Sus scrofa: one gene and its partner. The protein of the gene in region 1 purifies or fractionates together with the protein of each later gene. This does not show direct contact. Links are inferred from orthologs where the notes say so. Each region holds a gene or a part of one and is shown on either strand. Other genes may lie near its edges.

What was found.
Region 2: the proteins of VPS45 (region 1) and RBSN purify together in Homo sapiens (affinity purification with mass spectrometry; 4 studies listed by BioGRID and IntAct, counting the BioPlex papers as one, with this or other methods). This does not show direct contact. The link is inferred for Sus scrofa from reciprocal best matches to the Homo sapiens genes VPS45 and RBSN.

What each region holds. Positions count from the first base shown.
Region 1 is NC_010446.5:98,979,461-98,983,281, reverse strand, and holds part of VPS45 (vacuolar protein sorting-associated protein 45), read left to right. Parts: intron 1-82; coding exon 83-190; intron 191-1,280; coding exon 1,281-1,402; intron 1,403-3,821. UniProt on the Homo sapiens protein: May play a role in vesicle-mediated protein trafficking from the Golgi stack through the trans-Golgi network.
Region 2 is NC_010455.5:69,413,884-69,417,704, forward strand, and holds part of RBSN (rabenosyn-5), read left to right. Parts: intron 1-3,005; coding exon 3,006-3,106; intron 3,107-3,821. UniProt on the Homo sapiens protein: Rab4/Rab5 effector protein acting in early endocytic membrane fusion and membrane trafficking of recycling endosomes. Required for endosome fusion either homotypically or with clathrin coated vesicles.

The DNA of each region.
Region 1 (3,821 bases):
CTCATGTCTTCATTTATTTAATAAAGTTATTTTCTTCCTGTCATCCAAGCACTAAGAGTTTGTTTCTCTCTCTTTTTTAAAGCTTGTGTCTGCAGTTGTTGAATATGGTGGTAAACGGGTCAGAGGAAGCGACCTCTTCAGCCCCAAAGATGCTGTGGCTATTACCAAACAGTTCCTCAAAGGATTGAAGGTATGACATCTCTATGCTTTCCTAAAGGAAAGACAGTCGAAGCCCCTAAGGCTGAGAGTGAATGAATATGATCTTCAGAGTAACTTCAGGATCGCTGCTGGTTTAGTACTATGTCAATTAAATGAAATTAAAGCGGACATCCTCTGGAAAGTTTTTTCTTTAAATACTTCCTGTATTAGAGCAGCATCAGCATCAGCCCACATATCTGAGAAGGGAATTACGAGATATTTCCAGAAAATAATCAAGAGTAAAATGGCAGACAGTTCTGTTAGTTGTAGCTATTTTACTCCATTTGTTTACAATTTAAAATTTGTAAGGTGGTTTTTCTTTGAAGGAAATTAAAGATGAAGCAAACAATTGTAGATCTTTTTAAAACACTCACCTGTTGTCTTAAAATGGTCAAAAATTAGTTTTAATCTGCTAGCCTTTCTTACATTTCCTAAAAATTTTCCATTTTCCTGAGTGTTTTTAGTCTCCTTTTCTGTGTGCTCCTTCCTTTTATTTGCTCTACCTATCATACAGTATTTTCACAAAAGGATGAGAGCCAGTGAAGATATGATAAAGGATTTAAGCAATTCCTTTTTTTTTTTTTTTTTTTGTCTTTTTGCTATTTCTTGGGCCGCTCCCATGGCATATGGAGGTTCCCAGGCTAGGGGTCGAATCGGAGCTGTAGCCACTGGCCTACGCCAGAGCCACAGCAACACGGGATCCAAGCTGTGTCTGCAACCTACACCACAGCTCACGGCAACGCCGGATCCTTTAACCCACTGAGCAAGAGCAGGGACCGAACCTGCAACCTCATGGTTCCTAGTCAGATTCGTTAACCACTGCGCCACGACGGGAACTCCGAGCAATTCCATTTTTAAAATTCTTTTATAACAGCTAGCCTTAAAATACAGAGTATTTTAATGAGATTGGTGCATTTCTAATTGATGAAAATAATTAATTCTAAAATTCTCCTAAAATTCCTGCTTGACTCTATCCCATGAAGTCTCTGTTGAGTGCATGTCCTTTTCTGATATGAGTATCATTAACTATTACATGTCAAGTTTCCAAAAAATGACATAAGAACCATTTCCCTCTGTCTTAGGGAGTAGAAAATGTATATACTCAGCATCAACCTTTCTTACATGAGACCTTGGACCATCTCATCAAAGGAAAGCTTAAGGAAAACCTATATCCTTATCTAGGCCCCAGCACACTCAGAGACAGGTAAGATAACAAAGATATTAATAATAAAAACCAGAAAAACTAAGAAAATGGGAAACTTAGGGTAATATAAGGGACTACAACTAAGGTTATATCATTCTATTTGTCCTTCCACGGTTGTTTCAGTTCTAAGATTCTTTCGGTGTTTCATGTGTCAGAGTTAGATTTAAATTTACCTGTTAACCTTGAAGCATCATTTCTTTTGGAATAAAGAAACCGTTGTTTTGAAGCTCCCCTACCCCCCCCCCCAACTTGTGTTCTGTCCTTTAATATCAGACCAGTTTCCTTATGCCATTTAAGGTTCAGTTCCATGGAATCTAGCATTTGGACTTTCAAACATTAAGGCCAAAAATAGATTTGCTGCTTGATTGCCATCCAGAGCAGGTTGTTACTATTTTTGGTGAGGACTGGACTTTGCGAAATGTGGCCAGCATAAAAACTGAGACCTAATTAACAAAGGCCATTCGTTACATGGGAGAAAAGGATGGCTTTCTTTTTAAGTATAAACTAAAGAAAACAATTAATTGTCACTATAGTCCAGTGGTTTGTTAGTGTTAATAAAAACAAAATTTGTCCAGAGCAATTGTGTAGGCCAGGCTTACTGTTTTGTTTTTTGGTTTTTTTGGCCTCACCTGCAGCATATGAACATTTTATATACACACAAATTCTACCCAGTTATAAATTATATTCTTGTGTATTTTTTATTGGGACACATTATAAAGAGCCTAATATATATGGCTGAATCCTGTTGGATAGATTGATATGAGCATTGTTATGGGTAGTGAAATTCTTCTATTTTTTTCAGCTAATCATAATCTAAGAGCCTTGGAAGACTAGTGTTATATAAATATAAGGAATTTTCTGAGAAAAATGTTTTTTGAGGTACATAAATAACTCTTTTACAATAAAAATATTTTTTTCACTTTTTTCCTTTTTTAAAAAAAACCTGGAAATTTGGTAACAGAACAGAAAAAAATATTTTTAAAAACCCAAGATTGAGAGGTATCCAAGCTGCATCTGCGACCTACACCACAGCTCACAGCAATGCCGGACCCTTAACCCACTGAGCAAGGCCAGAGATCAAACCCGCATCCTCATGGATACTAGTTGGGCCCATTATCACTGAGCTACAATGGGAACTCCTCTTATGAACTTCATATAAGAATTATTGAACAAGAAATTAGCCACTTATTGCTAAAGGGGCATAATAGAAGAGTATATTGTGGATGATTAGTTCATGACAGGAAACCTTTCTAATTTGGGTAATTCATTTCTAAACAAAGCTCAAAATGATGCTTTTCCAGCAAAATGAACATTCATCAGTTTTGGCATCTGTTAGCTTTGGGCACTATTATCTAAATATACATATAGTTAATAATTCAGTTGCTTCATCCTACTATATAAAAAAATTTTATTGAGTGCCTTTAATATGTCAAGAACTGCTGTAAATCCTGGGGAAACAGAAATGACAGGAAAGACAGGTACCTGCCCTTGAGGGACTTACATGAAGGAGACAGACAGTAAGCTAGTAGACAAATAAAGAATATAATTTGAATGAGGTAAGTGCTACTGAGGAAATAAGTAGAGTAATAAGCTATGAAGTAACTTTGTAGAGGTAGGGAGGGGTACTTTAGGTAGAGAGAACCTCTCTAAAGAAGTGATATTTAAGATGAGATTTGAATTACAAGAAAGAACCAATCACATAATGATTAGAGGAAAAGCATCACAAGAAGAGGGAACACCAGAACAGAGTTCTCGAAGAAAGAGAACTTGGCAAGTTCTTGGAACAGAAAGAAGTCCAGTATGGCTGGAGTATGGAGAGTAAGGAGGAAATAAGAAGTTGAGAAGATAAGTAGGTCTGGATCCCATAGAGTCTTATAGGCCCTGGTAAAGAGGTTTTTAAAAGTTTTTAAATATCATAGGAAGCCATTAAAGAGCTTTAAGCATGTAAATGACATGAACTGAATTATGTATTAAAAGTCGCTTTGTTGGGAGAATGGATTATTGAAGGCAAAATTAGAAGCAGAAAGTCTACCTAGCAGGTGACTGCAGTAGTCCAGGTAAGAATGAAAGTGGTTTGGATAAGGAGGCTGGGAGAGAAGGCAGAATCAATAGACTTATTTAATGAAGTATATTGAAGAAGAGAGAAGGTAAGAGAGAAGTCAAGAATAACTCTCAGGTTTGTGGGGGAGATCAAGAGTTCTGTTGTTAAGTTACAGATGCCTATTAGATAAGCAAGTGGAAATGTTAGATACCAAATTGGGAGTCAATAAGATTTTGGTGATTTAAAGCTATGGGAATTTTAAATCTCTAGGGAGAGAGCATAGAAAGAGAAAAGGAGAGCCCAGGACCAAGCACTGAATAGAGGATGTGGAGTCAGCAATGGAGATTGAGAAAGAGATAGCAAAGATAAGAAGAAAAC
Region 2 (3,821 bases), on another chromosome or scaffold:
TTAGTTACATATAAAAGACAATTAGAAATCTGAAGGAGACATTTCAAGCATGTGACATCTTACTAGCTTTTGTTATTTAAAGAGAGTCAGTGCTCTGAGAACTCAGATCCCACATTAAGCTGCTGCCCACTGCAACCAAAAAAAAAAAAAAAGAAAGAAAGAAAAGAAAAAAGAAAGATTGACAATGCTAAATTTTCAGGGTGTACTTTTAGAATGGATAAACAACAAGGTCTTACTCTGTAGTGGAGGGAATAGACCTGGGATAGACCATGGAAAAGGATATAAAAAGAGTTTAATTTCCTGCTGTGGCGCAACAGGATTGGTGGCATCTCTGGAGTGCTTGAATGTAGGTTCGATCCCTATCCTGGCACAGTGGTGTTGCTACAGCTGTGGTGTAGGTGACACCTGCAGTTCAGATCTGATCCCTAGCTCAGGAACTCCATATGTCACAGGGTGGCCAAAAAAGGAAAAAAAAGAATGTATATGTGTGTGTGTGTTGTGTGTGTGTGTCACTTTGCTGTATACCAGAAATTGGCACAACATTGTAAATCAACTGTAATTTTTTTTTTTTTTTTTTGTCTTTTTGCTATTTCTTGGGCCGCTCTCGCGGCATATGGAGGTTCCCAGGCTAGGGGTCGAATCGGAGCTGTAGCCACCGGCCTATGCCAGAGCCACAGCAATGCAGGATCCGAGCCGCGTCTGCAACCTACACCACAGCTCATGGCAACGCCGGATCCTTAACCCACTGAGCAAGGGCAGGGATCGAACCTGCAACCTCATGGTTCCTAGTCGGATTCGTTAACCACTGCGCCATGAAGCCATGATGGGAACTCCTATACTGGATCTCGCGTTGCTGTGCCTCTGGTGTAGGCCAGCAGCCTGGGAACCTCCATATTCCACGGGAGTGGCCCTAGAAAAAGCAAAAAAAAAAAAAAAAAGAAAATAGTAATTATCAGTGTGATTTTCCTATTAACTTGCCTATATCAACAACTGAAAGAAGTAACAAATTGCAAAAGGTCAAGTGAATGGCACATTTTATTTTATTTTGTTGTCTTTTTAGGGCCACACTCGAGGCATACTACATACCACCTACACCATAGCTCATGGCAACACTGAATCCTTAACCCACTAAGTGAGGCCGGGGGTTGTTAACCACTGAGCCACGACCAGAACTCCCGAATGGCACATTTTAAAAGTTAATGTTGGTTGGGAGTTCTGTTGTGGCTCAGCGGTAACAAACCTAACTAGTATCCATGAGGATTCAGGTTTGATCCCTGGACTCGCTCAGTGGGTTAAGAATCCAGCATTGCCCTGAGCTATGGTGTAGGTCGTGGACATGGCTCGGATTCTGAGTTGCTATGGCTGTGGTGTAGGCTGTTGGCTACAACTGTTATTTAGCCCCTAGCCTGGAAACTTCCATATGATGTGGGTGTGGCCCTAAGAAGTAATAAAATAAATCAATAAATAAATGTTAATGTTTATTGTCACCCCTAAGAATTCAAAATTTAAAAAAAAAATGGGGGGTAGTTCCCATCATGGTGCAGCGGAAACTAATCCGACTAGGAACTATGCGGTTGCAGGTTCGATCCCTGGCCTTGCTCAGTGGGTTAAGGATCTGACGTTGCTGTGAGCTATTGTGTAGGTCGCAGACGTGGCTTGGATCTGATGTTGCTGTGGCTGTGGTGTAAGCCAGCAGCTACAGCTCCGATTCGACCTCTAGCCTGGGAACTTTCATATGTCTTGGGTGTGGCCCTTAAAAGCAAAAAAAAAAAATTTTTTTTTTGGCCTCACTTGCGACATCTGGAAGTTCCCAGGCCAGTGACTAAACCTTTGGCAAAGCAGTGACAGTGCTGGATCCTTTAAGCCGTAGGCCACCAGAGAACTCCCTAAAATTAAAATTTAATTAGATGTTAGAGTATTAAGTTAGGGAAGAAAAGAAGTGTAGGTGGTTAAGAGTATAGCATATAAAAAACTCTAAATATGGTCGAGTGAATAGGCCATCACTGGGCAGAAGAAGTGAACTAAGTGCTGGAATGGGGAGGGCTGGGACCGGTTTTCCAGAGAGGAGACATTGAGCAGGAGTTATTTCAGACATGCCAACACAGCAAGCTACTTCCTTCCATTTGGGAGATTCGTCCTGGGTCTTGGCTGCTGGACTCAGGAAGTTACCAGTTTAACTAGCTCCCACAAGGCATCTATTCACATTTACATTGGAGGGCTATTTTGAGAAGGATTGTTCTTATTCTTATGAAAAATCATATTGTACCAACTTTGGAAGTATAGACAAGCATGGGAGTTTTTTTAAATTGCCCATAATGTTACTGCCCCTTTTTACTGAATAAAAATTCATGTGCCAGGCAGCATTCTAAGGATTTGATAAATTTTAAGTTACTTAATCCTGATTAACAATCCTGTTGGGGGAGTTCCCATCGTGGCTCAGTAGTTAATGAACTCGACCAGTATCCATGAGGACGTGGGTTTGATCCCTGGCCTCAGTGGCTTAAGGACCCTGCATTGCTGTGAACTGTGGTGTAAGTCAAAGATGCGGCTTGGATCTGGCATTGCTGTGGCCGTTGTGTAGGCCAGCGGCTATAGCTCTGGTTTGACCCCTGGCCTGGGGACTTCCATATGCCACAGGTACGGCCCTAAAAAAAGAAAAAAGAAATCCTGTTAGGTAGGTACTACTGTTTTACCTATTTTATATTCCAAGTTACAGAGAGGTTAAGGAACTTGTCCAGGGTCACACGGTGTGTGGCAGGATTGAAACTGGAGCACAGGCTGGCTCCAGTGTCCAGGCCCTGTCCTCAAGTACTTTCCTTTCGCATTTTGTGGTCCCAAGGTGACTGTGGTTAACAGTTTAGCAAATTTCCTTCCATTTGCTTTTCTAGTTTTAAAATTTATAGTAATACTCTGAAATCCTAGATTTTTTCCTTGCTTTTGAAATTCAAAGTAGAGAGGCTCCCCAGAGAAACAAGTCTTTTGTCTCCTACCTTCTCTTCTTTTAGGTGCAATGCGAAGCCATCTTTCCGACTTCAAAAAACACCGAGCTGCCAGAATTGACCATTATGTTGTCGAAGTCAATAAATTAATAATCAGGTTGGAGAAGGTAAATTTTGTTGTTTTAAGACACCTTTTCCTGCAAATTTTAGTTTTCTGGGGAGGGGGATATTTCATTTTCCCCATGTTATATACACTGTATATAACGGATGCTGGCAGGGAAACACCCCTTAAGTGGTGCTGAGGACATGGTGGAAGGTTCTAGCCTGGGCTGGTTTTACTGAAGGGGATGGCTCAAGTCAGCCACTGGCCACATACCTAGCTTTTCTCTTCCTTCCTCTGAAGCCCACTTGGCTACTGGACAGCCTTTCTGCCTTCAGATCCTTCCTTGTTGGAGTGTCCTGGCACAGTCATGCAGTGACATAGTGTGTGGTATCAAACAGCCTGCTAACCAGGCATGTGAGGGGTGTCCTGCCAGGGCCGGCATGCAGTGTGGGAACCCCTTGTCCTGTGGGATGAGAGTGCGTTTTCCATACCATGATCGCTTTATTTTACTTTGACCCTAGAAATGCTTGCTGTGTATAAGCTGGGTTGTGTGGTGGGCATGGTGGCAGCCACAGGTTCAGTTCCTCATGTGTACTTCGTAGGATTGTCTAGGAGGGTGGCGGGGGATCTGGGTGTCCTGGTGCTCTCATTAGCCACCACACCGCATCCTTGCCCACTGCTGGTTATTGCTTAAACAGGTAAGGACAGTAAAGAGATTGGAAATGGGTCCTGTGAAGGGAGGTACCTCTGTCCTCGATGAAATTACTTTTGTGACTTTG